Ovis aries: one gene and its partners. The protein of the gene in region 1 binds, or shares a complex with, the protein of each later gene. Links are inferred from orthologs where the notes say so. Each region holds a gene or a part of one and is shown in the gene's direction. Other genes may lie near its edges.

Evidence for each region.
Region 2: GAS8 (region 1) and DRC1 share a complex: the UniProt entries of both Homo sapiens proteins name them as parts of the nexin-dynein regulatory complex. The link is inferred for Ovis aries from reciprocal best matches to the Homo sapiens genes DRC4 and DRC1.
Region 3: GAS8 (region 1) and FBXL13 share a complex: the UniProt entries of both Homo sapiens proteins name them as parts of the nexin-dynein regulatory complex. The link is inferred for Ovis aries from reciprocal best matches to the Homo sapiens genes DRC4 and FBXL13.
Region 4: GAS8 (region 1) and TCTE1 share a complex: the UniProt entries of both Homo sapiens proteins name them as parts of the nexin-dynein regulatory complex. The link is inferred for Ovis aries from reciprocal best matches to the Homo sapiens genes DRC4 and DRC5.
Region 5: GAS8 (region 1) and IQCG share a complex: the UniProt entries of both Homo sapiens proteins name them as parts of the nexin-dynein regulatory complex. The link is inferred for Ovis aries from reciprocal best matches to the Homo sapiens genes DRC4 and DRC9.
Region 6: GAS8 (region 1) and CCDC153 share a complex: the UniProt entries of both Homo sapiens proteins name them as parts of the nexin-dynein regulatory complex. The link is inferred for Ovis aries from reciprocal best matches to the Homo sapiens genes DRC4 and DRC12.

What each region holds. Positions count from the first base shown.
Region 1 is NC_056067.1:14,319,952-14,324,212, forward strand, and holds the start of GAS8 (dynein regulatory complex subunit 4), read left to right. Parts: upstream 1-1,461; 5' UTR 1,462-1,521; coding exon 1,522-1,524; intron 1,525-3,115; coding exon 3,116-3,202; intron 3,203-4,261. UniProt on the Homo sapiens protein: Component of the nexin-dynein regulatory complex (N-DRC), a key regulator of ciliary/flagellar motility which maintains the alignment and integrity of the distal axoneme and regulates microtubule sliding in motile axonemes.
Region 2 is NC_056056.1:33,576,709-33,580,886, forward strand, and holds the start of DRC1 (dynein regulatory complex protein 1), read left to right. Parts: upstream 1-1,378; 5' UTR 1,379-1,443; coding exon 1,444-1,598; intron 1,599-4,178. UniProt on the Homo sapiens protein: Component of the nexin-dynein regulatory complex (N-DRC) a key regulator of ciliary/flagellar motility which maintains the alignment and integrity of the distal axoneme and regulates microtubule sliding in motile axonemes.
Region 3 is NC_056057.1:45,849,464-45,853,444, reverse strand, and holds the start of FBXL13 (F-box and leucine-rich repeat protein 13), read left to right. Parts: upstream 1-1,181; 5' UTR 1,182-1,276; coding exon 1,277-1,351; intron 1,352-3,981. Other genes in the region: ARMC10 (armadillo repeat-containing protein 10), read right to left, coding at 634-772. UniProt on the Homo sapiens protein: Substrate-recognition component of the SCF (SKP1-CUL1-F-box protein)-type E3 ubiquitin ligase complex.
Region 4 is NC_056073.1:17,779,403-17,783,340, reverse strand, and holds the start of TCTE1 (dynein regulatory complex subunit 5), read left to right. Parts: upstream 1-1,138; 5' UTR 1,139-3,938. UniProt on the Homo sapiens protein: Component of the nexin-dynein regulatory complex (N-DRC) a key regulator of ciliary/flagellar motility which maintains the alignment and integrity of the distal axoneme and regulates microtubule sliding in motile axonemes.
Region 5 is NC_056054.1:191,026,690-191,030,937, forward strand, and holds the start of IQCG (dynein regulatory complex protein 9), read left to right. Parts: upstream 1-1,448; 5' UTR 1,449-1,564; intron 1,565-1,834; exon of another isoform or gene 1,835-2,071; intron 2,072-2,197; exon of another isoform or gene 2,198-2,243; intron 2,244-3,458; 5' UTR 3,459-3,600; intron 3,601-4,248. Other genes in the region: RPL35A (large ribosomal subunit protein eL33), read right to left, coding at 1-125, 325-335. UniProt on the Homo sapiens protein: Component of the nexin-dynein regulatory complex (N-DRC), a key regulator of ciliary/flagellar motility which maintains the alignment and integrity of the distal axoneme and regulates microtubule sliding in motile axonemes.
Region 6 is NC_056068.1:29,498,872-29,502,997, reverse strand, and holds the start of CCDC153 (coiled-coil domain-containing protein 153), read left to right. Parts: upstream 1-1,326; 5' UTR 1,327-1,550; intron 1,551-1,669; 5' UTR 1,670-1,681; coding exon 1,682-1,751; exon of another isoform or gene 1,752-2,036; coding exon of another isoform or gene 2,037-2,076; intron 2,077-2,149; exon of another isoform or gene 2,150-2,154; coding exon 2,155-2,220; intron 2,221-2,589; coding exon 2,590-2,733; intron 2,734-3,271; coding exon 3,272-3,520; intron 3,521-4,126. UniProt on the Homo sapiens protein: Component of the nexin-dynein regulatory complex (N-DRC), a key regulator of ciliary/flagellar motility which maintains the alignment and integrity of the distal axoneme and regulates microtubule sliding in motile axonemes.

The sequences.
Region 1 (4,261 bases):
ACTCTTCATCTCGGCAGTGCACACTGATAAACCATGCTGTGCTGTTCATTTGTGACAAACGAATACCCTGTCTTGTTATCCTGAGCTAACCCTCCTATTCTTGCCCTTTTTGTTGAAAGGAATTATTGTTAATGCATTCGTTTAATTCAGGACTCCCAGCCAGAATTCTAAAGCAAAAAGCCAGTCAGCATGAGGCACCTAGCATAGTAAGTGCTAAATAATAATCATTAGCACTCTGTCCTACCAGGCTGCACTGTCTTACTTGCCAGAACCCCTGTGGGAGGAGCCTACCTTAGGGGAGAAGACCCCTATCAGACCAGACGTGTCTGACACAGGCTCAGGCTCTTGTCAGCCCAGGCACAGAGACACCATCAGACCTCCCAGAGGCCCTGGGACTGCTATAAATGTCACTCTTTGTGCAAGTCGGTTGATACAGTCCCTCCAAAGGGCCATTCCTCTCCAGGAACAATTAAGTCTTGGGTGGGCAAAGAGGAAACCCCCAGGCTCTTTTTTGTGGCTCTCTTCCCTGACCTGAGCCTTTCTCCACTATTCACACTCTGTGCCCAAGGCAGTTCTCCAGGGAGAGAAGATTCCTCTCCATTCCCAAACTGACAGAAAAGCTTGACCTGCCGCAAAACCACTATTTCATAAGATGCTAATGTTGAGTGTGGAAAACAAGACAACAAATGGTGTTGTTTTGGGTATAGGTAGCTGGATGGTAAGAGGGATCAGAAATTCTCTCTGCAATTTGTAAAGCAGTTAGCAGTTTTCAGAGCAAGAGGTTAGAGGGAAGAAAACCCCTGAAGACTTTTTTTCCCTGCAGAGCTCGTCTGGAAGCCCGTAGCAAAGGTTTCTAGTTTTTCCTCACCAGGAGGACAAAGTCTCTTTAGGAAGAGCAGTTAGTTTTTGTGAAGGGGAGACTTGTTGATTTCAAAACTGTGGACCCCGCTGGAATATAATTTTCTCGCCTTACTTTTGCTTCCTCTGAGGCTTTGTGGAAATCCAGCTGTCTTCCAGCCTCAGGTGGGAGGAATCGTCAAAGGGGGGCAGGGTGAGGTGAGGCCCCAGAGCAGAGGTTCCGCGAGAATTTGAATCTAATTTGGGTAAAGTCGCGGTGTGGCCGCCTCCCCTCGCTCACTCTTTGAGTTCATGCACTGTAGGTCTTGTACCCACGTAGAGTACGTAACAAGTGGACGGAAACCGTTCCTCCAACCTCCGTGGAGCTTAACTTTTAGTGGGGAAGACCCGCAGTAAACAAGACCTGTCCCGAAAGGAATGCGTTCCCAGGTATCTTGGAGAGGTAGCTTGTGGATAATGTCCAGCTTCGGCCCAAATCTACAGACTCCGCCTGGTTAGTTGCTAAGGACTCCCGCCGTTGCGAGGCACCGGCCCTGCCTGCGGGGTATCGCGATGGTTCTCGAGACTTCGCGCGGGATCGTGCAGTCGTTGCCTGGAGACGGCGCATCCTGGGAAGGCCGGGCACTTTGGTTTGTTGGTCCACGCAGGCGGGAAACCACAACCATGGTGAGGCGGTCTCATAGGGTCCGCGCCGGAGCCCTAGGGCTCAGGGGTCGGCTGGCCTTGGGCGCTGGGAGTCCCCGGGACGGGAGATCTGGAGCTTTGGGGTCTTGGAGCTGCGGGCTTGGTGCTCTAGGGGGTGGGGGGCGGGGTGTCCTCGCAGACGCGGCTTCCCCGTGGAGCTGAGAGACTTGGTCTCTCCAGAATCTTGTACACACCCGGGTGGTGGTCAGAGAGCACCGTCTCTCCCGCCCCCAGACCTAGGGACTGGTGTGCACGTGTCCGGACCGGAAAACCTGGGTCGAGTGGCTACCCTACCTGGAATGGAAGGCTCATTGATCAGATCCTTGGGAAACAGAGGTCCTCCAGCCTCTGGGATCGGGAACCTGGGGTATACCATGGTGGCCAGAGGGTCCTGACAGCGGTTCCAGCGCACGTAAAGTCCCCAGGGCAGAGCTTGGGCAAACCTGAGAGGAGTCAGGCGGGAACTGAGCAGAGTGGAGCTTGCTGCCTCTGGGCTTCTCAGTCCCCACCCCTCTGTGGTAGGGCTCTCAGCTGCTCACTCCCCCCTGTGCTGTATGGGCTGTAGGTCACCCAGTTTCCAGGCAGGTGTGGCAGGGTGGCCATCAGTGCGGGGACCCCTCTGTGTGTGGGGGCCCCAGGGGCTCTAGAGGCCCCAACCACTGCCTTACTCCCAGATGCTGAGTAAGCTCCTGGGCTCTTCTGATGGGTTGGACTTCTTGGAGTAGAGGGTTAGAAAGAGGGCAGTGTTTTAGGAGTGAAGATTTCAGCGGTTCTGTCTTTTGCAAGTCAGCTGGGAAAAGATCACCAAAATACATCTACTTTCACTAACTTGAGGGAAATATGCATGATTTTCCTTTTTTTTTTTTTTTGTTACTATGCTTTCTAACATTTCCTCATAAACTTTTTTGGTAATAAAAATGTTACAGAGACGTGCAGATGCATGCCTCTTTATAGACAAAAGCATGAGCCACAGAAACTTGTGAGAAGTGAGGGCAGAGGATAAGGCGTTAGTTTTCTTTCTGTTGAGTGGCCCCTGGAGACGCAGTGGGGCAGAAGGTCCCCTCTGGCACCGTGGAGAAGTGGTTAAAAGCAGGCGTCACCGCACTGACAGAGCCCACAGTGTGTGAGTGCCAGTCTGTGCCAGCAGTCTTCACCCCCGGTCTCTGAGGCACCCACCTTGCGCCCATGGAGCGATATATTGCAGGTTTCTCTCTGGCACTTGCCAAGCACTATAGTCTGTGCTGCTGGGGATACTCCTTTGTGAGGCCGAGTAGCTTTTGCTCCACACCAAGGAAGTCTCTGCTGTATACAAGGAACATGTTCTCCCTCTTCCTTTCTGAGGGGAAGCAATATTCTCTTCTGAGAAGGGAGATTTCTCTTTGCTGTCCACAGAATATGCCTGTGGTTAAGGATGGGAAACCTTAGGGCAGAGTGAGGCGGCCCGGGTGGAAGCCTGAGACAGTGGGCAGTCAGATAGAGGTTCCAGGCAGAAATTCCTCTCCCGAATGGCCCTGAAAGGGAATGAACCAGCCAGAAGTGAACCCTAACCCGACCATGTATTCTTCAATCCAAGGCGCCCAAAAAGAAAGGGAAGAAAGGCAAAGGCAAAGGCACTCCGATTGTTGATGGGCTGGCTCCGGAGGACATGAGCAAGGAGCAGGTGAGCGGGCTGGCTGGGCCACGGCCCCTTGCTGGGGCAGGTGGGATGGGTTTGCTGCCCCACGCTGGTCCTAGGAAGTTCTTTTAGACTGCAGCACCCCGGCTCCTTGTCTGCTTCCCCTCAGTCTGGCTCCTGCCGTCTGCCCACACCAGGACATGTGAAACAATGCAGCACGTGTGATGGGTAAACTTTCCGCTAGGGTAGTAGGAACTTGGAAGGAAATGTTTTTCTGATATAAAGCTATTTTAAGTTTTCTTTCATTCTTACCCTTTTTAGGCCCCTACTGTTTACGGAGATGTTAATCATAGTATATACACTTACAGCATTCTCATTTATTTGATTTACCATTAAACACTGTGAGTTATTTTAGGCCGCATGTTCATTTCGATGACATTAAGAGCTAGGGAACATGATTTGATTAATTACAGTTTCAATTGAAAGGCTCCCAAAACCTATAACTTGCGCAACCCATGAGAGCAGATGTGGTCTGGAAGTGTTCATGACCCTTACTTACTTTTGATGGTTTTAAGATAAAAGAAATCAAGGGAGATTCAACAAGGCATAAGACCTGAAGATGGAGAGCTGGGCAGAGGCCCTTGAAAGTGGTGAACAGGCTCTCTTTCTCACACAGGGAAGCCATCGGCAGTCTGTAGAGGGTAATGAGGTCAGGCTGTGCTTCGAGGGGGTCACTGGGGATGCCTCATGGAGGTTGGCTTACCCGCTGTGTCACCCCAACAATCAGACTGTTTCCTGCCTACAGGTTTACTTCCTGTCCTGTGACACGGCAGGGGTCAGTCTGCAGAGCTTGGAGGCTCTCGGGGTCCAGGCAGTAGTAAGATGAGAGATTCAGGCCAGCTGTGGTCAGATCTGAATTTGGCAATAAGGAGTTCATGATCTGAGCCACAGTCAGCTGCCAGTGTTGTTTTTGCTGACTGTATAGAGCTTTTCCGTCTTTGACTTCCAAGAATATAATCACTCTGATTTCGGTGATGGCCATCTGGTGATGTCCATGTGTAGAGTCTTCTCTTGTGTTGTTGGAACAGGGTGTTTGCTATGACC
Region 2 (4,178 bases), on another chromosome or scaffold:
AGCAGCAGCAGCAGCACGGCTTATTGACAAGGGGCTTATCTTCTTTGGCCTCACTGTTGCTTGTGATTTAAGTAGGCAGGCAGTACAGCTGAGAAAACAGTAAATTGTGCCATACCCAAGGTGGCAGGGCCTGTCTGCAATTTCTTACTACCCTAGTGCCCTTTTCCGAGTTTCTCTCAGGCCAGTAGTACAAGGTTCGATCAAATGTTATCCTGCTTGTTTTCGAATGAGTCTTAATGCTACATAAGAACGCGGTGCATTTTTTGTCGCAGTGCGACAATTGACACGTACAAAACACCCAGGAAATAGTGCTTTTCAAGGGACAGTAGTCCTTCGAAAGTTTAAATGTGCTTCTGTGCTCTTAACTTTCATTCCTCCCCCCTCACTCCCTTTCCTACCTGTTTTTCTCTGCTCTCCTCTTTTTTCTGTATGTGATTGCGGGTAGTAATGGAGGGAGTGCAGCCCTACTGAAAACCGCTACATAAGACAACGGTTCCTTGTTGGATATACATTTATTGATGGCAGGGGGTTTTCACATTCTAGAGACGATAGAGGCTGAATACACAAAGTAGGAGCTCAAACACTAATGGATGATGGGAATTCCTCCGCGGCTCAGTGGTAAAGAGTCCGCCTGCCAGTGAAGGAGACAAAGGTTGGATTTCTGATCTGGGAAGATCTCACGTGCCACGGAAGAACTAAGCCTGTGTGCTGCAACTATTGAGCCTGTGCTCTGGAGCCTGGAGACTGTAACTACTGCAGCCAGGAGCGGCAACTACCAGAGCCCTTGCGCCCCAGAGCCCTTGCTCCGCAATCAGAAGCCCATGCACTGCAACAAGGAGTAGCTCCCGCTCGCGGCAGCTAGAGAAAAACGCCTGCTGCAAAGAAGACCCAGCACAGCCAAAAGTAAAGTTATACATATTAATTTTTAAAAAGAATGGATGACAAGCAGGTGGATGCAATGTACTTTAGTTCAGAATTTCTGAGTGAACCTATTATTCTACCCCCTCCATCGAGGAAAAGACAACGCTTGGATCCTCGGAGCTAGCACAGTGATTGGCATAGAGTAGACATTGAATTACATTAGCTGAATACGGTGATTTTGAGGATTATTTATTTGATGGATGAATTAATCATAGGGTAGGTAAGTGATGAATCACAACTTGGTTCAGCTCTTAAGTCTTCCGGCCTCTGTTAATACCACCTGAGCCTTAGTGGGGGATTCAATACAGTCCTCACCGTAATTGCAGCAGAGGAATAAAACCCCAAGCTGAGACAACGGCGCTAAGAACACCAGTGCGCCCGGCCTTAGGGGCTGCGCGCGCAACCACGCCAGCTGCGGGTCAGGTGACTGCATTTCCCTGGCAACAGCTTTGTTGTTAGCAACCAAACTGTAGTCCCACGGTGGTCCAGGCAGGGCTGCCCGGGGGGCGGAAGGCACCTGCCATGAATCCGCCAGGATCCCTGGGGGTCCTGGAGGAGAAGGAGGATGAACATTTAGCCACCCCAATTCTCGGACCCTCCGTACATTCTGATAATCCTCAGGAGCGGATCCAGGCCCGGCGCCTGCGCATTGCGGCGCGCCTGGAAGCTCGGAGGCGGTGAGTCAGGGTTTGGGCGCGTTCTTCCAAGGAGCGCCCGGGGTGCAGGTGACCTGGGTGCTGGAATGAGGGGGTGGCTTCTCCAGGCCGGAGCCCCTGTGGTGAGGGGCTCGCGTGCCCTACGTGTGAGCTGGTCTTGCTTCTTGATGAGATAGAAAACTTTTCTGCCAGAAGGTTCAAACAAAGTATGTGATATTAAAGCATTGAATACACTTAGCAAAGTCAAAGATGGAAACAGGAATCCCTCCAGCACGTTCACGGAGAGCCTGCTGCGCCAGGCACTGTGGGCCGTACCTGAAGATGTTGGGGCTTCATGACCGGTCCCCCGAGATCGTTCTTTCCTCCTTGCCTCCCAGCGTGCCTTCCTTCCACAAGGGGTTACAGAGCAGACCTCGGCTATCACTTCTGTTGGTTTCAGTGGCTTAACTGGTTGTGTGACACAAAACCGTTTTCCTGCAGAGTCTGAGGCTGATAACTGTACCATTCTCAGGCTGGGGTTGCCACCCTCGTCCACTCACAGACTTTGTGGCCTGTCTTAAGAAGGGGGATCGAGGGGAACTTGCGTGAACCTGTGACTGCCTGAACACCGCACTGTGTGACAGCGCTTATACCTCGTCCTGCTGGTCAGGGTCAGCTGCCTTGCCAAGATGGTGCTTCTCTTGTTGTCTGCCGGTCTTTGGACACAAGGGGCCCAGAGTGATGTGGCTGTGTTCCAACAAAAACTTAACTTAAGGACACTGAAATTTGCATTTCATATAATGTTCGTGTGTCACAGAATATTCTTCATCTTTAGATCTTTTTTTTTAAAATTGATACACTTCATATTTTAGAGCAGTTTTAGGTTCACAGAAGAATTGAGTGGAAACTACAGAGGTTTCCCATTTACCCCCTACTTCTACACATGTATGAAGCTACCCTGGTGGCTCAGATGGTAAAGAATCTAACTGCAATGTGGGAGGCCTGGATTTAATCCCTGGGTTGGGAAGATCCCTAGAGAAGGAAATGGCAACCCACTCCAGTATCCTTGCCTGGAGAATCCCATACAGAGGGGCCTGGTGGGCTACAGTCCATGGGGTCACAAAGAGTCACACCCAACTGAGTGACTAACACGCACTCTACACATGTATAACCTCCTCCACTATCAATATTCTCCACCAGAATGGTACATTGGTACAACAGTTGGATCTTGATAAATATATAATGACATGTATCTACCCATCACAGTACTGTACTGAAGAGTTTCACTGCCCTAAAAATCCCCTGCACTCTGCCTATTCGTCTTGATCTTTTCAAAAAACCATTTGAAATGTAAAAAAATCATTCTTCACTCCTGAGCCATACAAAAGCAAGTGAATCAGATTTGGCCCATCAGCCAAAGTTTGGCAGCCCTGAGATAACAGATCAGTGTGATGCTCTGTGGGATATCCAAGTGGTCCTGATCTATCTAGACTCTAGTTTGTCAGCTCAGGAGCATTGACATGGCCCTGCAAGTATGAGGACTGTATGAGTGTGTATTATCTGTTCCTCCTCGATATGAACTTCCTAATCCTTTTTCCTGACTGAGGTAGAAATAGCATATTTGGCTCAATCAGTGGCCACATTCCAGGTACCTAAGGCCACACTTATATGTTCAAGCAAGGACCTGCATGACAGCTGCAATTAGGACTGCTGCTTGCTTGAGCTTGCAGTAATTGACAATCATTTTCTTGGCTCCATCCATCCAGTTTTTGCAGGGACCTGACCAGTGAATTAAATGGTGATTTGATAGGCACCACCACTCCCACATCTGTGAGATTCCTAATTGTACTGTGTGCTCAACCACTCAGTCATGTCCAGCTCTTTGTGACCCTGTGGACTGTAGCCCACCAGGCATCTCTGTCGATGGAATTTTCCAGGCAAGAATACTGCAATGGACTGCCATTTCCTTCTCCAGGGGATCTTCTCAACCCAGGGATTGAATCCACGTCTCCTGCATTGGCAGGCAGCTTCTTTGCCACTGAGCCACCTGGGAAGTCCTTGAGATCCCTAAGGGTGATGCTAATCCCTACCGTAGCCCTGGTATACAGTATTGCTTTTTGTGCACTTGGGTGCAGTTTTGGAGTGTCCATTTGACCTTCCATATGGCTATAGCTCTTACCCACAGGCCAACAACCTAGTGTGAGAATTTCTCAACTTTCTAAGCATGTTAAGATCACCCTTGTTGCTCTTTAGGGAATGGTTTGGAGGAACAAAGATCCTACATGCCACTTGGAGTAAAAAAACTCTGCCTTTCCAATGCAGGGGAGGCAGGTTCCATGGGGAGCGAGCTAAGATCCTACATGTACTCCCTGCATTGGAAACTCAGAGTCTTAACCACTGGACCACCAAGGAAATCCTGGATTGTGTTCTTTTTAGTATTCGAATTTTTATCCCTATGGAATATATTTTTGTATATGGTGAAATATACTATGAAAATTTAAAATTAAATCCCCCAGGCCATGCACAGCTCAGCAGAAAGATTTAAAAACAAAACAAAACAAAACAAGAAGTTAGGAAAAAAAGTGAAAGGTTTTACTTCCTAGAATTTAAACTTCATTTTCT
Region 3 (3,981 bases), on another chromosome or scaffold:
GCAATCTACACACTTCTGGAAAACTTAATCCTCCTCTGTGCCACCAGACTTGGGCAAGAAAGTTACAGCAATTATCCATCCTGGTATTTTCAAAAAAAGAAATGAAGGTAGGGAATCGAACCCTACACTCATCCAATTAAGATCCGCCTTTTGCACCTGGGCTTCCCGACCTGGCTCTTCTCACCATCCTCCCTCCCTGGCTGGGCTTCTTATTTACTCCCAGCACAAGGAAGCCATAGAGAAGGAAATGGCAGCCCACTCCAGTACTCTTGCCTGGAGAATTCCGTGGACAGAGGAGCCTGGTGGGCTGCTGTCCATGGGGTCGCACAGAGTCGGGCACGACTGAAGCGACTTAACGTGCATGCATGCATTGGAGAAGGAAATGGCAACCCACTCCAGTATTCTTGCTTGGAGAATCCCAGGGACAGCGGTGCCTGATGGGCTGCCGTCTGTGGGGTCGCACAGTCGGACACGACTGAAGCGACTTAGCAACAGCAGCAGCAGGGAAGCCAAGAGCTTCCAAGCAAACGCATTAAAAGATCAAACACAATGACGGGGAGCTCTTGCAACCCCTCATCCAGGGAAAGGCCCAGCCCCAGTCCTCGCCACCTGCCAGGGACTCCGTGGCCTTACCTGCGGACCGCGAGGGGCGCAGCCGAAGCCGGCGGCCGCCTCGTCTCCGGCCCCGCGTCAGCTTGTAGAAGCAGTAGCAGGCGCCGGCCGCGAGGATCAGGCCCGCCGCCACCCAGCCCACGTCCCGGGCGCCGCCCATGCTACCTCTGGGGCCGCGCACAGCGCTGGGCCCGGCGCGGGAGTGTCCGGAGCCAGCGGGTCCAGGCGCCGCCGCCCGGGATGACGCCGCGGGAGAAAGGAAATGGGGGACTGAACTCCGCCTCTCAGAAACCGCCCTGCTGAAAAGTGAAAGAGTCCACTCAGCCCGTACGCTTCCTGGCGGCTTCCTGGAGAGTGGGCGGGGCACGGCTGGAGGCGAGCTAGACTGGGTGAAGCGCTGCAAGCACTGCACGCCCCGAGAGCACTCGCCGGGGGCCGCCCCGGACGCCCGGAGGCGGGTCCCTGCCCCGGCCCGAGGCCCGCCCCTCTTCCGGGCAGGCCACTGAGGGCGCGAGGCAACGCAATGCCTAGCCCCTCCTCCCACGCCGCGCGGTTGCCGTGGCAACGCCGGGACGCGCTAGCCCCTCGCTCAGGAGTGGCTCTTGCTGCTCCGGGCGTGGGGAGGGCCAGCGAGCCACGCAGGATTTCAGTAGGGGCTCAGGTCATGGCCTCGCTGCGCCGGGCCAGCCCCAGGCTGAGGAAATACTTCAGGGAGAACTACATTCCTCAGGTCTGCGAGGTACTGGAGCCACATGGCGGCGGAGTTAGAAGAGGGAAGAATGGGCAGAGAATTCCCAGAGGAGGGACTGGAGTTTGGCGAAGAGAGGAAGTGGAGGTTAAGAGGAGCGAAAAGGGAAGAGATGAAGTCAGCTTTGGACAGGACGGCGGTCCGGGCTGAACATACATATCAGAGAGTTGAAGCAGAGGGGTGAAGGTGGCTGAAAGGGGGGATGAATGACATCTCCCAGGGAGAAAGGGGGAAAGACCTCAGGACAGAAACCCCAAACGCCAACTTTCCAGATTTGGATAAGAGGAACTAAGGACTAGAGGAGTGAGGATGAAATGCCTTGGAGATAGAGGAGGAAAAGCAGAAGAGTATGGCTTTATGAAGAAAGTGGGCAATAGTGTCACCTAAGATAAAGACTTGAAAAGTTGTAGTGGATTTGGCCCAGGGTAAGTGTGGGTTTTCAATGGAGTGATGAAGGCAGAAAATAGATTGAGGTTAGCTGAGGAGTGGAAACTGAGATCTTTAGATAGAAAGCAGTCAGCCCTTTGTGTGAAAGGAAGATCCACACAACCAAGGCTTAAATGGGAGGAAAGACTGTCCTTCCCCACCCATCTTGTAACAGGAAGGAAGCAGGACAAGGGGTGGGTAGGCTTTGTAGGCTCCGAGTTAGAAATCCAATAAAATTATCTTCTGGTGACTTCCATTTTCTCTACAAATATGAGGTGAAATGTTTGTCAAGATTGAGGATGTTTGGCAGGGGATGCAGTTGTAGAAGGAGTTTTGAGTAGTTAAGTTATTCAGACAAGGAGGGAGAGTTAGAAGTCCAGGGAAGGAGAGAGAAGGAAGGTGAGGCAGTGTTGAGAGTCCAGCTGGGGGAGTGACTGTCCTACGCAAGTGGGAGGGCAGTTCAGTACAGCCCCCTCCTTTGGGGATGGTAATTTTCAAATATTTATTAAAGTGTTAAATATGAATACCCTTTAACCAAGCATTTCCACTTCTGAGGATCCACTTTAGAGACATACTTGCACATGTAACCAGAAGGATGTACAAGTATATACATTGTAACATTGTCACATAGTGAACGTGGTAAATAAGTCTAAATAAGGGAATGGGCTATTCTGTAGAACAATATATACCTGTGCCTTAAGACAAAAATGCAAATTGCCTAACAAAGTGTACTAACATCTAGCTACCTGAATTCATACTTGTATGCATATGTGTATATGTATATAAGTGTGTTTTTATATGTGTATATATATATGTAAGACAATAATATATGCATAGAATATATGGCAAACTATTAACAGCAAATGTTTTGGGTCTAATCTTTTACTTCATATACATCTGTAGGGTTTTAATTTTTTTATGATGAGTTTCATTCATGTTTTACCTCTATACAATTGTATTTGAAAATGTGTAGAAAGCTTGCTATTTATCTTCCCAGTTGCATGGTTTTCTCAAGCAGCACTCAGTAAATCAGACCTAAGTATACAAATAAGAGCTGATTTCATTCAGGATAGGAGTTTGCCACACATATATAATGGAAGGGCAGTGGGGAGGGAGCTAAGCTTTTGAGAGTGCCTAAAGTGATGGGCCTAGGACTCTAAGGACTGGGTGGGATATGAGAACAAGACATAATACTGATATGTGGGTAGAAAGTGGAAGTTTGTAAGAGGTGAATGAAAAAGGGTAGAGGGAGTATTTGAGTGAGGGAGCTGGAAAAGTAGGAGGTGGGGGCCACAAAGTGGAATGTGCACAATTACCTCTCAGAATCATCTTTTTTTTTCTATTAAAATTTTTTCTTGGTTAGATATATTAACACATGACTTCATAGTATACAATTTCAAACTTTTATAAAGAAAATGAATTTTAGTTTCCATGCGGAGAACCTGAAAAATCTGTGGATCATCGATTTTTCCTTTTTGAAACCATTTTTGTACTATCATCAATGCAAATAGGCCTGGAGGGGTGAAACTATCCTCACACCCAGAGCTGGGGAGGAAGACGGAGCCTCTTCAAAGAATCTAATACAGTCATCCCTCAGTATTCTCAATGGACTTCCCTGGCTCAGATGGTAAAAGCCTCTGCCTACAATGAGAGAGACCTGTGTTCGATCCCTGGGTCGGGAAGATCCCCTGGAGAAGGAAATGGCAACCCACTCCAGTACTCTTGCCTGGAAAATCCCATGGACTGTAGCCTGGTAGGCTACAGTCTGTGGGGTCACAAAGAGTCGGACATGACTGAGTGACTTCACTTCACTCAGTATCCTCAGCTTTGGTTCCAGGACCCCCATGGATACTAAAATCTGTGCACACTATTTACATACAACCTACATCCATCTTACTGTATAAATCACCTCTAAATAAATCATCTCTAGATCACTTATAGAACCTAATCCAGTATAAATGCCATGTAAATAATTGCCTGCACTTAGAAAATTAAAGTTTTGCTTTTTGAAACAATGGAATTTTTCCCCAGTCATTTTGGACCCACATTTGATTGATTCCATGAATGAAGAACCTGCAGATACAGAGGGCTGACTGTATTTATGATTCAGTGTGAAGCCATTCTGAGTCATAGCTATGTCCAAGTTGGCCATGGAACAGGCAGCACAAGTGGACTTGAGTGGAGGATCAGGGAAG
Region 4 (3,938 bases), on another chromosome or scaffold:
GGAAGGGGAACTCGGGGAACCCATCCCCAAGTCAGAGCCTCCCTAGCTGCGAAGTTCTGGGGGCATTTAGTCAAAATTTTAGAGCAGAGCAGGCCTTCCTGACAGCATTTCTTGCGTGATTGCTCATTCTAATTGAGGCAGTGGTGATTAGTTGGTAAATCACTGATGAGGGCTTGAAAGGGGCCTGGAGCCCCTGGCCTCTGGCTGCTTGCAGTCCCGAGAGGTCGCAACTGTGGATCTTAGCTACTGTGGCAGGGGCCACTGTTCAGTACACTGACTGAAAGCCTGGATCTTAACATATAGTCACCACAGTGAGGATACTAGGGCAGGGCGGTGGCGGGGGGGGGGGGGGGGATGTTGATGAGTTAACTGAGCTTCTAAGGTTGTAACTTATCCAGGGTAACCCAGCTAGTAATCATCAGAACTGAAATTTAAGTTCTGCTTCTAGTGAACCAATCACCCTTGGTTGCTCTTCCCCTCTTGAAGGACAATTTCCTTTTCTATGAAAGCTAGTCATTTCACAGAAGCTGGTCATTCCTGGTGTCGGGCTTAGGGCTGTGGAGGGAGCGCTGTGGAGGCCTGGGGTCTTCCTGCCTGGTGCCAACTCAGCCTTGCTGACAACCTGGAGAAAGGCCGAGGGTGGCTCCAAAGGTATGCTGCAGCCAGTGGTCAGCTGAGGGCCTCAGGGGAGTTCCAAGAACTGCACGTGCCCTTCCATCATCCTCTTCCGGAAGGGAATGGCCACTGGTGCTTTTCCTGGACCGTCTTCCCACTCGTCATCCCCATCTCCATTTCCACACAAAAGGCCGGAGAAGGAAGAGCCCCGTAGTAGACCAGGAGCCCTGCCGCATCCGCAGCTCCCTGCCTTTCCCTGCAGAAACCCACTGCTCCTAAATATGTCCACTCGACGCACAAAGCATGTCCGGATGCCAGAGTTCTCACTGTCCGCTCTGGGCTCCACATAGTGCCTTAGAGGGGGACACGTATTTGCATCGATCCTGGGCCAAGGCGTGCTGCTACAACCATCGAAGTCCGGCAGCCCTGCCTTCGCACAGCGCATAGCAGTCAACCAGCTTGCGGGAGAACGCATGCGCACCCGCCCTTGAGGGCCCGCCCCCTAGCGACGCACGGCGTCCCTAACAACCTGCGTTCGTGGGGACCTGCGGGAAGGTGAGAGGCCAGGTCTCGGGAGCGGTGAGGTAACCTCTGGAGAGAGAACACCCGGCCCCGGTCTCCCCTAGCGGGCTGAGCTCTCTGCCCCCACTCTCCCCACAGGGCATGGGAGCACCCCACAGAGTCAGCCCACCTGGCCGAAGTCTGCAGGTGACCTTGGCTCCCGTGAGAAGGAAGGGCCGGCCTGTACCTATGGGAAGCCCCCACCCCCATATGAAGTTGACCATGCCTCCTTCCTCCCTACGGCCACTGCAAACTGGCTCTGCGAGTCAGGGGAGGGTCACCGGAGATGGAGAAGGGGAAAGTGGAATGAGAGTCGGTCATGAGTGAGAGCAGTCCCTAGTTCCGGGGCCCCAGCCTTCCTGGAAAGACAGAGCTCTATTCCCAGCTCCTGGGGCTGCAGTCCTTCCCGCAGGTCTAGACACTTCTACACCTCCCTCCCTCCCATGACAAAGCTGGTTATCCCTGGTCACCAAGAAGGAGGGCCCCTTCACCCCAGGCGGGTTGGGGGAGGGACTTGCTAGCATTTGGAGCTGAGGTTCCCTGGTGGGGTGTCTGAATCAAAGGTAGGGATGAGGGTGGAGTTCTTTTTTAAGACCACAGACCTAAGTGCGCAGTTGGGAGGAAAGCCTGGCCCAGGGGTGTGATAAGTGTGCAGACTGTCTCACCAGCAAAAGACCAGGGGTGCTAGGCCAGAACTCTATCAGGGAAACTTTTTTGCCCCTCTTTTGTGATTCCGCAAACTCTGAATTCCCAAATGGGAATGACTTGGCCTGAGGTGGAGTCTGACACAGTAGGCAAGATAGGGATTGGGGAAATGTAGACCAAAGCCAGGGCCCTGAGGAACAGCTGACTGAGAAGGCAGGAAGCACCACCAGAGAAGCTGGGGGATATGGGACGTCAAAGCCCAGCCCCCAAGAAGGGATGTCCAAGGCCACAGAGGTCCTCAGAGAACCTAAGGAAGGCCTGGCACTTCTGCTTCTCAGTTCAGAGAAAGAGAGGTGAGGACCAGGGGTGTGGTGAGCAGAAAGGAGAGAGGATCCTCCTCCTCTAGCATCTTCAACTTTCCCATTTAGGCAGGCAGGTGGAGCCTCTGCCCAAAGTGTTTGGATTTAACTAGGCACTTGAGAAAGATGGAGGAGGTCTGAGACGTTTCTGAGAGGAGGGAAGGTGCGGGAGACTCGAGCACTGAACCCTAGGTCTGGAAGGAACATGGAGGGCCCAAAGTGGGCCACGGGGCAGGAAAGCACAGCTCTGCGGTATCTCTTGGATCCTCGTGGGGCCTCAAAAGCTGAAGTGATCATCAGTTCTGCAGAAGGGCCCTGTGACTGGAAGGGACAGGGAGTGAGGGAGCCTGGGCTTTTCAGGTCAGCACCAATGAGGGTGACCCCAGGCTCCGACTGGAGAGAGTGTGAGGCCCACTGGAAAAGTGCTATGACAACCGAGTCTGGGCAATTTAGGAAGCAATCCCAACATCCCGTGATTTGTCTCTGCTTTTGTGCAGGGAAGTGAGGGACAGCTTTGGACAGACATTGGTTCAGAGCTCAGCTTCTCCATTTACTATGTGATGCTTAGCTAGTTACTTAAGTTCTCTAAGCCTCTGTTTTCCTGTTTGTGAAATGAGGATAATGGTGTCATAATAACAATATTTGTCAATAATAAGTCTGAAGATTTCATAGGCTTATATAGGTACAGCATCTAACATCTTTGTCATGATATCTAACACTTACCTTGAGTGTTGGCTCTGGGCCCAACACTATACAGAATGTCTCACACATGTTTCCTGGTGGCTCAGACAGCAAAGAAGCTGCCTGCAATGCAGGAGATGCAGGAGACATAGGCTCAGTCCTTAGGTCGGGAATATCCACTGGAGAAGGGCATGGCAACCCACTCCAGTATTCTTGCCAGGGGAATTCCATGGACAGAGGAGCCTGGTGAGCTATCACCCATGGGCTCACCAAGAATCAGTCATGACTGAGCGACTGACACTTTCACTTTAGGGCTTCCCAGGTGGCAGGAACGGTAAAGAACCTGACTGCCAGCGCAGAAGACACAAGAGATGCAGGTTCAGTCCCTGGGTTGGGAAGATCCCTGGAAGAGGAAATGGCAACCCACTCCAGTGTTCTTGCCTGGAGAATCCCAGGGACGGGGGAGCCTGGTGGGCTGCCATCTCTGGGGTCACACAGAGTCGGACACGACTGAAGTGATTTAGCAGCAGCAGCAGCAGCCAGTGCAGAAGACACAAGAGATGCAGGTTCAGTCCTTGGGTTGGGAAGATCCCTGGAAGAGGAAATGGCAACCCACTCCAGTATTCTTGCCTGGAGAATTCCAAGGACCGAAGAGCTTGGCAGGCTACAGTGCATGGGATTGCAAAGAGTCAGGCACGACTGAAGCGACTTAGCATGCAAGCATGCATACACATTAGCTCCTTTAATCCTCTGGATAATCTTATGAAGTAGGAACCCCAGTTACTATCCCATATTACAATAAAGAGATGGAGGCTTAATGGGGTTGCATGATTTGCCAGGTTCTCCCAGATGCTGGGGACAGAGTGGAGATTGGACCTCAGGCGGCGTAACTCCTGAATCCTGAGCTAGCTGTTATGCCGCCTCCTCCTGTGCACACACTACTGAGGGCCTGCCCTGCTGCTGCGTGTGTGCATGCTCAGTCACGTCCAGCTCCTTGCGACCCCATGCACTGTAGCCCACCAGGCTCCTCTGTCCCTGGAATTCTCCAGGCAAGAATACTGGAGTGGGTTGCCATGC
Region 5 (4,248 bases), on another chromosome or scaffold:
ATTCAGTTTCATCTCGAGCATATACACCTTCAATTTTCAGGAGAGCAGTGTGTTCCCTTTGGTTCCGTAGACCCCGTTTATAGCCAGCAAAAATTGCCTTGGACCACAGCCTAAGACAAAATACACTGTTAATTCTAAGCTGTTAAAATCTCACTTAACTTCAACAAGCAACAGCTATGGTTTGACTTGTGATGATCCCCACCTAAATTTACCTACACCAAACATCTATTTTTTTTCCCCACCAGACTTAAACTTACATTTACGATCATGCCTTATAAACAAGTACACTTGTAAGTACAAAGCAATGATATTTAAAACACATACCTTCCAGACATATTTGTCGTTTTAGAAGTCCCGTTCCCAGCAGGCCTGCAAACAAAAATACTCAGTTTAAAACCCCGCAACGCCCGTTTCCAACCTACTAGCTTCCTGTGGAACAGCACCCCAAACTCAAAGAATGCTAAGTAACTAAGCAAACGCCAAAATGAAGATAACTAAAGTGGCAAAATTCTACAGTACAAGACATAACTGCTAGAAACACCAAAAGAAAGTCTTAAGAACAACACTTTTACACACTTAAGTCGCTCAGTCGTGCGACTCAAGAGTCGCGACTCTTTGCGACCCCCACGGACTGTAGCCTGTCAGGCTCCTCCGTCCTAGGGATTTTCCAGGCAAAAGTGCTGGAGTGGATTGCCATTCCCCTCTCCAGGGGGCCTTCCTGACCCAGGAATCGAACCCGAGTCTCCCGTATTGCAGGCAGCCGCTTTACCGTGGGAGCCACCAGGGAAGCCACACTGAACGGGAAAGAAAAGCTAAGGAAAGACACAGTAAACATGCAGAACACAGGTTTGAGGTGGCAGTAAATGGACAAAGAACCCTGCCTAAAGGTGCCGCTGCTGCCAGACAAAATGCATCTGTTTTGTATTTTACTCCGCTAGGGCCCGGAAGCAACTGGTTACCGGAGCACCCATTCTCGGAGGTCAGGGAACCAGCACCATCAGTCCCATATCTCCTCCATCCTGTCCTCCCCGTTGCTGGAAATCACAGAAATCGTTAGCTGGTAGAGCCTCGGAGTCACACCCGTGCCTCGTCCGAGGGATATAGCCGAGCCTACCCCACTTATTTGCCCCCAAAGTTCAGCTGCAGGAAGTCTACACACCTTCACAGGGTCCAAGATGGCTGAAAGAGACCAGCGAGGACCCGCCGCGTGGTCTTGTGGGTAAATACATCTCCGCCCCGCCCCCGTTTAGGTAACTTCCGCGACCGCCAAAAAAGCCTCAGAAATCGCCTTCTGACTGAAATGAACCACGCTCAAAATCACCTGTACAATTCTCTCCCTAAGTCCTTTTATCTTTGTAAGCTGCAAAATGTATTATTTTGGAACACAGGGAGGCAAAATAGTAGCCAGCTAAAAGAGAAGAAAAGGTCCTCCGAAGCTGTCCGTTGCCACAGAAACACCTTAGCTTGGTTCCGACGGCCTCCGGGGGTGTAGTTGGCAAAGTGAAGCCGGAGGGGAGGACGACCTACGCTTCGAGTACCCTAGAACTGGTTCGCCAACAAGCGGGTATTTTTCCTTCTTACCACTTAGGAGTAGGGCAAACGGAAGCTCTCGGATCCTAGCCTGGAAGAGAAAGACCGCGAGCAAGAAAGGAGGAGAAAGCTCTTAATTCTCTATACCTTTCCTACCCCTTTGCATGCATATATACTCAGTCGCGTCTATTTGCGACTCTATGCACCGTCCTCCACCAGGCTCTACCCTTGGGATTCTCTAGGCAAGAATACTGGAGTGGGTTACCGTGTTCTCCAAGGGATCTTCCCCACCCTAGGAGCTTACCTGCATCTCTTGGATTGGCCGGCGGGTTCTTTACCACCAGCGCCACCTGGGAAGCCCTCTTCTGCCTTTCTGCGACCTTGTTCAGTCGTGTCCGACTCTTTGCGACCCTATGGACTGCAGCGCGCCAGGCTCCTCTGTCCATGGGGTTCTTCAGGCAAGAATACTGGAATGGGTTGCCATTCCCTCCTCCAGGGGATCTCTCCGATCCAGGGATCGAACCAGCGTCTCCTTTGGCTCCTGCATTGCAAGCGAATTCTTTACACATTGAGCCACCTGGAAACCACCCTCCGCCCCTTACCACCCTTTTAATCCTTTCCTCCTTTTACCCCTTTATCTCTTTAGAGAAATGACTTAAGTTCTTACCGCCGTTCTTCGTTTTGACTCCGAGGGTGAAGAGAACATCCCTGACAAAGTCTTGTTGCCTTTTAAGGAGAACTCAGCTGCCAAAGGGCTTTCCTGGTGGCTCAGCGGTAAAAAAAAAAAAAAAATTCCCCTGCCTATGCAGGAGATGCAGGTTCCATCCCTGGGTTAGGAAGATCCCCTGGAGAAGGAAATGGCAACCCACTACAGTATTCTTGCCTGGGAAATCTCATGGACAGTGGAGCCTGCCAGGCTAGAGTCCATGGGGTCACAAAAAAGTTGGACACGACTTAACAACGACAGCAGTTGCTAAACTCCCAAGTGCCTGCCACCTAGCCCATGTCCAATTGGTCTTCAGTAAATATTTGTGCACTGGAATGGGATAGCTTAGTGGATGCCTGAGATTTACCTTTCCTAATTATTGCACATTATTTGTGTTGCTCTTTGGAGAATCCATATCAATAACCTCAGATATGCAGATGACACCACCATTACAGCAGAAAGTGAAGAGGAGCTAAAAGCCTCTTGATGAAAGTGAAAGAGGAGAGCGAAAAAGTTGGCTTAAAGCTCAACATTCAGAAAATGAAGATCATGGCATCCGGTCCCATCACTTCATGGGAAATAGATGGGAAACAGTGTCAGACTTAATTTTTGGGGGCTCCAAAGTCACTGCAGATGGTGACTGCAGCCATGAAATTAAGACGCTTACTCCTTGGAAGAAAAGTTATGACCAACCTAGATAGTATATTCAAAAGCAGAGACATTACTTTGCCAACTAAGGTCCGTCTAGTCAAGGCTATGGTTTTTCCTGTGGTCATGTATCGATGTGAGAGTTGGACTGTGAAGAAGGCTGAGCACCGAAGAATTGATGCTTTTGAACTGTGGTGTTGGAGAAGACTCTTGAGAGTCCCTTGGACTGCAAGGAGATCCAACCAGTCCATTCTGAAGGAGATCAGCCCTGGGATTTCTTTGGAAGGAATGATGCTAAAGCTGAAGCTCCAGTACTTTGGCCACCTCATGAGAATGAGTTGACTCATTGGAAAAGACTGATGCTGGGAGGGATTGGGGGCAGGAGGAGAAGGAGACGACAGAGGATGAGATGGCTGGATGGCATCACTGACTCGATGGATGTGAGTCTGAGTGAACTCCAGGAGACGGTGATGGACCGGGTGGCCTGGCATGCTGCGATTCATGGGGTCACAAAGAGTCGGACACAGCTGAGCGACTGAACTGAACTGATGGATTCATTCTTTTTTTCCAACAGTTTGTTGAATGACTGACTACCATGTACGAAATTTTCTTCTTGGCTTGGAGGATGCTGCGGTAAACAGAACAACAGAAATCTGTGTCCTCATGGAGCTTACATCCTAGTAGGAGAGCAAGACAAGGAGCAAGTAAAATAGAAGGTGGTGTGAGAAAAAAATGGTTCATGGAGCTTGGCTCTAGCTGGGCAAAGTGGTAGATACACAGCAAAATGCCACTGGTTGAAGCTGGTACCTGATGGACCAGTAGGACTTTACAAGGTGGAAGAGATTAGGGGAAGAGTGGTTCAAGCTGAAAGAATAGCATATGCAAACACCCTGAGTTAGAAGAGAGCATGATTCTTTAGAAGAAAGAGGCCCACTGAAGCTGGACCCATGAGAGCAATAAAAGGGCAGTGCTAGATGCATCTGGAGAGGAACAGAGGAGCAGCCCTATGGTCCAAGTTAAGAATTTTAGTTTTTTTCTTAAGTTAATGGGAAACCATTGAGAGGTTCTAAGAAATACAATGAAATTTTCAACTTTATACGATGAGCCCTTTATTTCAAAAAGATCACCTTTAATTTGGAAGCTGTTAGAGTAGTTCAAGCAAGAAACAACAGCTAGATTCAGCAGGGTATTGGGGGAAATAGAAATTGAAAGTAAAATCCACAGGACCTGGTGATGATTTGAATTGGGGGAATGCTGATGTCAGGATGAAGGAGGAAGCAGAAATGACTCCTGAGTTTCTAGCGTTGAGGAATGAGCAGCCAGAACTTGAAAGCACTAAGCATAGGCCTTTATTACTTATGTGA
Region 6 (4,126 bases), on another chromosome or scaffold:
AGCAAAAGGCTGGAGAGAGGGGTTTCGGGGAGGGAACAGCTAACCAGGGCAAGCCACTCAGCGTTCTCCCTTCCCCAGATTTATTTTTCCAACTATTCGTGACTCCAGCAAGATGCTAGGCAGCACCCCTAAATGAGGGGTGCCCCCAACATTGCTCCATAAATAATTTAAATAGAAAAATTCAGGAGACTTACTAGAAGGTCAAGAAAATCCACTAGAGGGAGCCCAAATCAACTCAATGCCACAGGGAACCAAGCTGGTTATTTTCTCAGCACCTGTCTGAAAATCAACCACAGACAGGAATAGGGAGAAAGAGGAAATATATTAAGTCACCATAAAAGAAGATAGTCCTGTAAATACCTGGTGAAAATCCAAGCCTTTCAAGATTTACAAAATCAAAGATTTAGGAAACTGAGGCTGAGCAAGGAAAATGACTTACCCAAATTTACATATCTGGAGAAGGGTAAGGATGAGAACTCAAAAGCTCCTGTCTCTAACCAGTACCCTTTCTTCTTGATTTGCATCTATGTCAGGATAGAAGGGCATCGCAACCCACTCCAGTATTCTTATCTGGAGAATCCAATGGACAGAGGAGCCTGGAGGGCTACAGTCCATGGGGTCACAAGAGGTTGCAAGAGTCGAACACGACTGAGGTGACTTAGCACAGCACCTTGAGGTCCTAGGTCGAACTCTCCTCTGTGTCTCATTTATCTGAAATAGGAAACTCTCTCAACCACCATCTCCTGAATTTCTTTCCCTCATTCACCGTAGAATACCTTCCTGAAATCTTCAATTTTAAGCCTATTTAATAATGTCATTTTGTTGATGAGACTTTGGGAAATGTAAATCACCCCAAATGGCTACCGTGAGTTCTTTTCCTCTGTATCAGCGCAATAGCATTATTTTGGATGTGTAAATCTATAATTTGTAAGTGTCCAAATTGCAGGCAGTGCTACATAGAAGTGAATCATATTTAATCAGTTCCAAAGCCCTCTCTCCTCAAACTACACTTAGGATCTGGGGACAAGAAGAGTATTGGCCCTCTGAGACCTTGGTATTTTAAGCATTGTATTTAGCCCCTTCTACCAGACACAATTATAACGACTGAGCAAGCATGCATGTACCTTCCTAACAGCTCCATGTTTCCCAGTTGCCTGGACAACGTGCAGCCTCCAGAAGCCCAACCTTCCAGTTCTCAGTCCCACCCCCAAATGAAATTTGCCACTCTGGATTGGGTCCCAGAACACAATCTCCTCCTCCGGCTCCTAGCTGGTTGGGCCTTTTCTCTGCCCCTCCTGGAAAGTGGGTCACGCCACAGGGAGATACAACAGAGACAAGTGAGGGTCTTGGAGGAAGGAAGAGGCAGGGTAAGGATGATGGGAAGAGAGAAGGGGCCAGGTACTGAGCTTTATTTTCTCTGAAAGAGGGTTGAGAGGAATGATTTCTGTACTTAGAGCTTGACTGGTAGAGAGAAATGGGTTCATCCTTCCCCCTGGCCCCAGCCTTGCCTAAGTTTCCAAGGAAACCAAGAACTGAAGCTTCTGGAAAGTGTAAGAGACAGACTTGGAGATGAGAGCACTAATTCTCCTGGGACTCCTGGTTCCGTCTAGGGAGTCAGGAGAGTGTCTCCATGTCCAGACCTAAATATGAGCCCCCTCCCTCCCTCCAGGACAGGAAGGAGATGCCACCTAAGACCAAAGAAAAAGGGACAAAAGCTGGGGCCCAGAAGAAGAAAAGAAATGCAGGTGCTGGTGAGTCAGACTGGGTGGAGGTGGGTGCCTCCCAGCCTCTCCTTGTTCTGGCTCAGAGACCTCCAGAGAGAATTCATCCCTCTGCGTGACAAGATGGAGCTGTCTTGGCCTTCCCCCTTTATATCCATATTCGGGTGCCATGGAGCTGGGAACATGGGAAAATCAGCACCCATGAATCCCTTCTGGCTGTGTGCCTTCCTTGTATATTCATTACAATCTTTCAAATACCTACTGTGAGCTGGGTAGTGAACTCATTAGGCTTTGCTATCAGAGATCCCTCATTTAATGGTCCTTGTATCTCCCACAAAAAAAAGAGAAGTCCAGGGTATGGGAGGAGGGTGGGAGGAGGGTAGGGAAGGCTGAGATCCTGACAAGCTGAGGGTCTGCTGTCTTGCCAGGGCAGATGTGGAGGCTGAATCCATGCACAGGCTGGCACTGCTGGAAAAGGAGGTGCTCCAAGACCGCTTGGGTAAGAAGGGTAGAAGTTCGGCAACAGAGACAGTGGGCATTTGTGTATCCCTGGGAGCTTAAAGTTTTGGAACAATGGTGGAGGGCTGAGCTGATCTCTAACCATCCCCTAATGGGAAAAGATTGTCAAGAGCTGGGGTCATGAGGACAGGGTGGGCCGTGAGGGTTGATAAAGAAAGCTAACTTTTATAGCTGGAACACAGAGGGAGTTTTTCCCTCTTAGTAACAGAGTCTGTAGGATTCTGAGGCGGGGAAGGGAAACAGAATGACGATGAGAGACTGGCAGGCTGCCGCCAGGTTTCTGAAGGTGGACAGAGTCCATCAAGGCCATGGGGGCTGATTGATTGAGTGGAGCCCCCAACCAGTGCAGAGGGCTGCTCTGGACTGTTCACAGCTCTGCAGAGGGATGAAGCCCGCCGAGCCAAGGCTTCGGAAGACCAGCTGAAGCAGAGGATCAAAGACCTGGAGGCTGAACTGGAGGGGGCCCGGAGCGAAGGGAAGGCCATATATGCAGGTGTGAGGTTGATCGAGCAGGTGGGCGGGAGACAGGGGCCCGGAAGAGGACAACTGGGAGGGCCCAAGGATGCTAGAAAGGGAGACAAGGAGGACTTCGAACCGCCATACCTAGCCTCAGCCCTCCCTGCACCCACAGGAATCCTGAGGGGGCCTTCTGTGGTCTTGGGCAGGAACCTTCCGTGACATGCAGTGCTTTGTGCTTGATGTCCCGTGGACTATGAAACGCAGCCCTAGCCTTTATCTCACTCCTCCCGTGGGAGTGGGTGGGAAGGAGGGCCTGAATTCACATACTGAGCTACCATAGCGGATGGGTGTCTTATTTCCTAGCTCTGTCCCTACCTTCTCAGATCACCACAAGAATCCAGAAGACTTTTTTTTTTTAAGATTTTTTTTTTTTTAATGTGGACCATTTTTAAAGTCTTTATTGGATTTGTTACAATATTGCTTCTGTTTTATGCTTTGGTTTTTTGGCTCTGAGGAATATGGGATCTTAGCTTCCAGATCAGGGATCAAATCCGCGTCCCCTGCATTGGTAGGTGAAGTCTTAACCACTGGACTGCCAGGGAAGGCCCTCAACAGACCTTTATGCACTTGTCCACTGGACCAAGCAGAGCCCTCCCCACCCACAACTTCTGTCCTTTCTCCACTGCTCTCTCCCCATCTGGGTCCCTGGCCACCCACGGCTCTGCCAGAGATGAGTCGTCAGTGCCGGAGCCTGCAGGAGGCGATGCAGAGTCGCACCAGGAAGCTGGAGGAAGAAGTGAAGGGCCTGCAGGAGCAGTTAGGTAGGCTTCCCAGGTGGCCCTAGTGGTAAAGAACCCGCCCGCCAATGCAGGAGACTTAAAAGATGTGGGCTCCATCCCTGGGTCGGGAAGATCCCTTGGAGGAGGGCATGGCAACTCACTCTGTAATCTTGCCTGAAGAATCCCATGGGCAGAGGAGCCTGGATAGCCCCATTCCATGGGGTCACAAAGAGTCAAGCACTAACCGAGTTAGCACGCACACACAGCACACCCTGCCCTCACAGCACTTTCTCTCAGAGGATCACACTGATGTAGTCCAGCCTGAAGGGGTGGAGTTAGAATGGTCTTTCTTTAGAAAACTGCAATTTAAGCTCTCATACTGTCTTCCCCCACTGACTCTTCTACTACTTGCAACAGAAGGTTCAGGATAGCAAAAAATACCCAATCTTAACCTTTTAGTTATAAATGAAGAAGCCCTAACTTTCTCACTGCACCTCCCTCTCTCAATGGTCTCTCTAAAGACAGTTCTTACTCCCCACTGCCCACATGTCTCTCACGAGCAAAACACAGTCTCTCTTAGTTTGGCTGATGTTTAGAATGAAAGCAAGCTTGAATATAACTGTTTGAATTACTTACCTCCGTATCTTC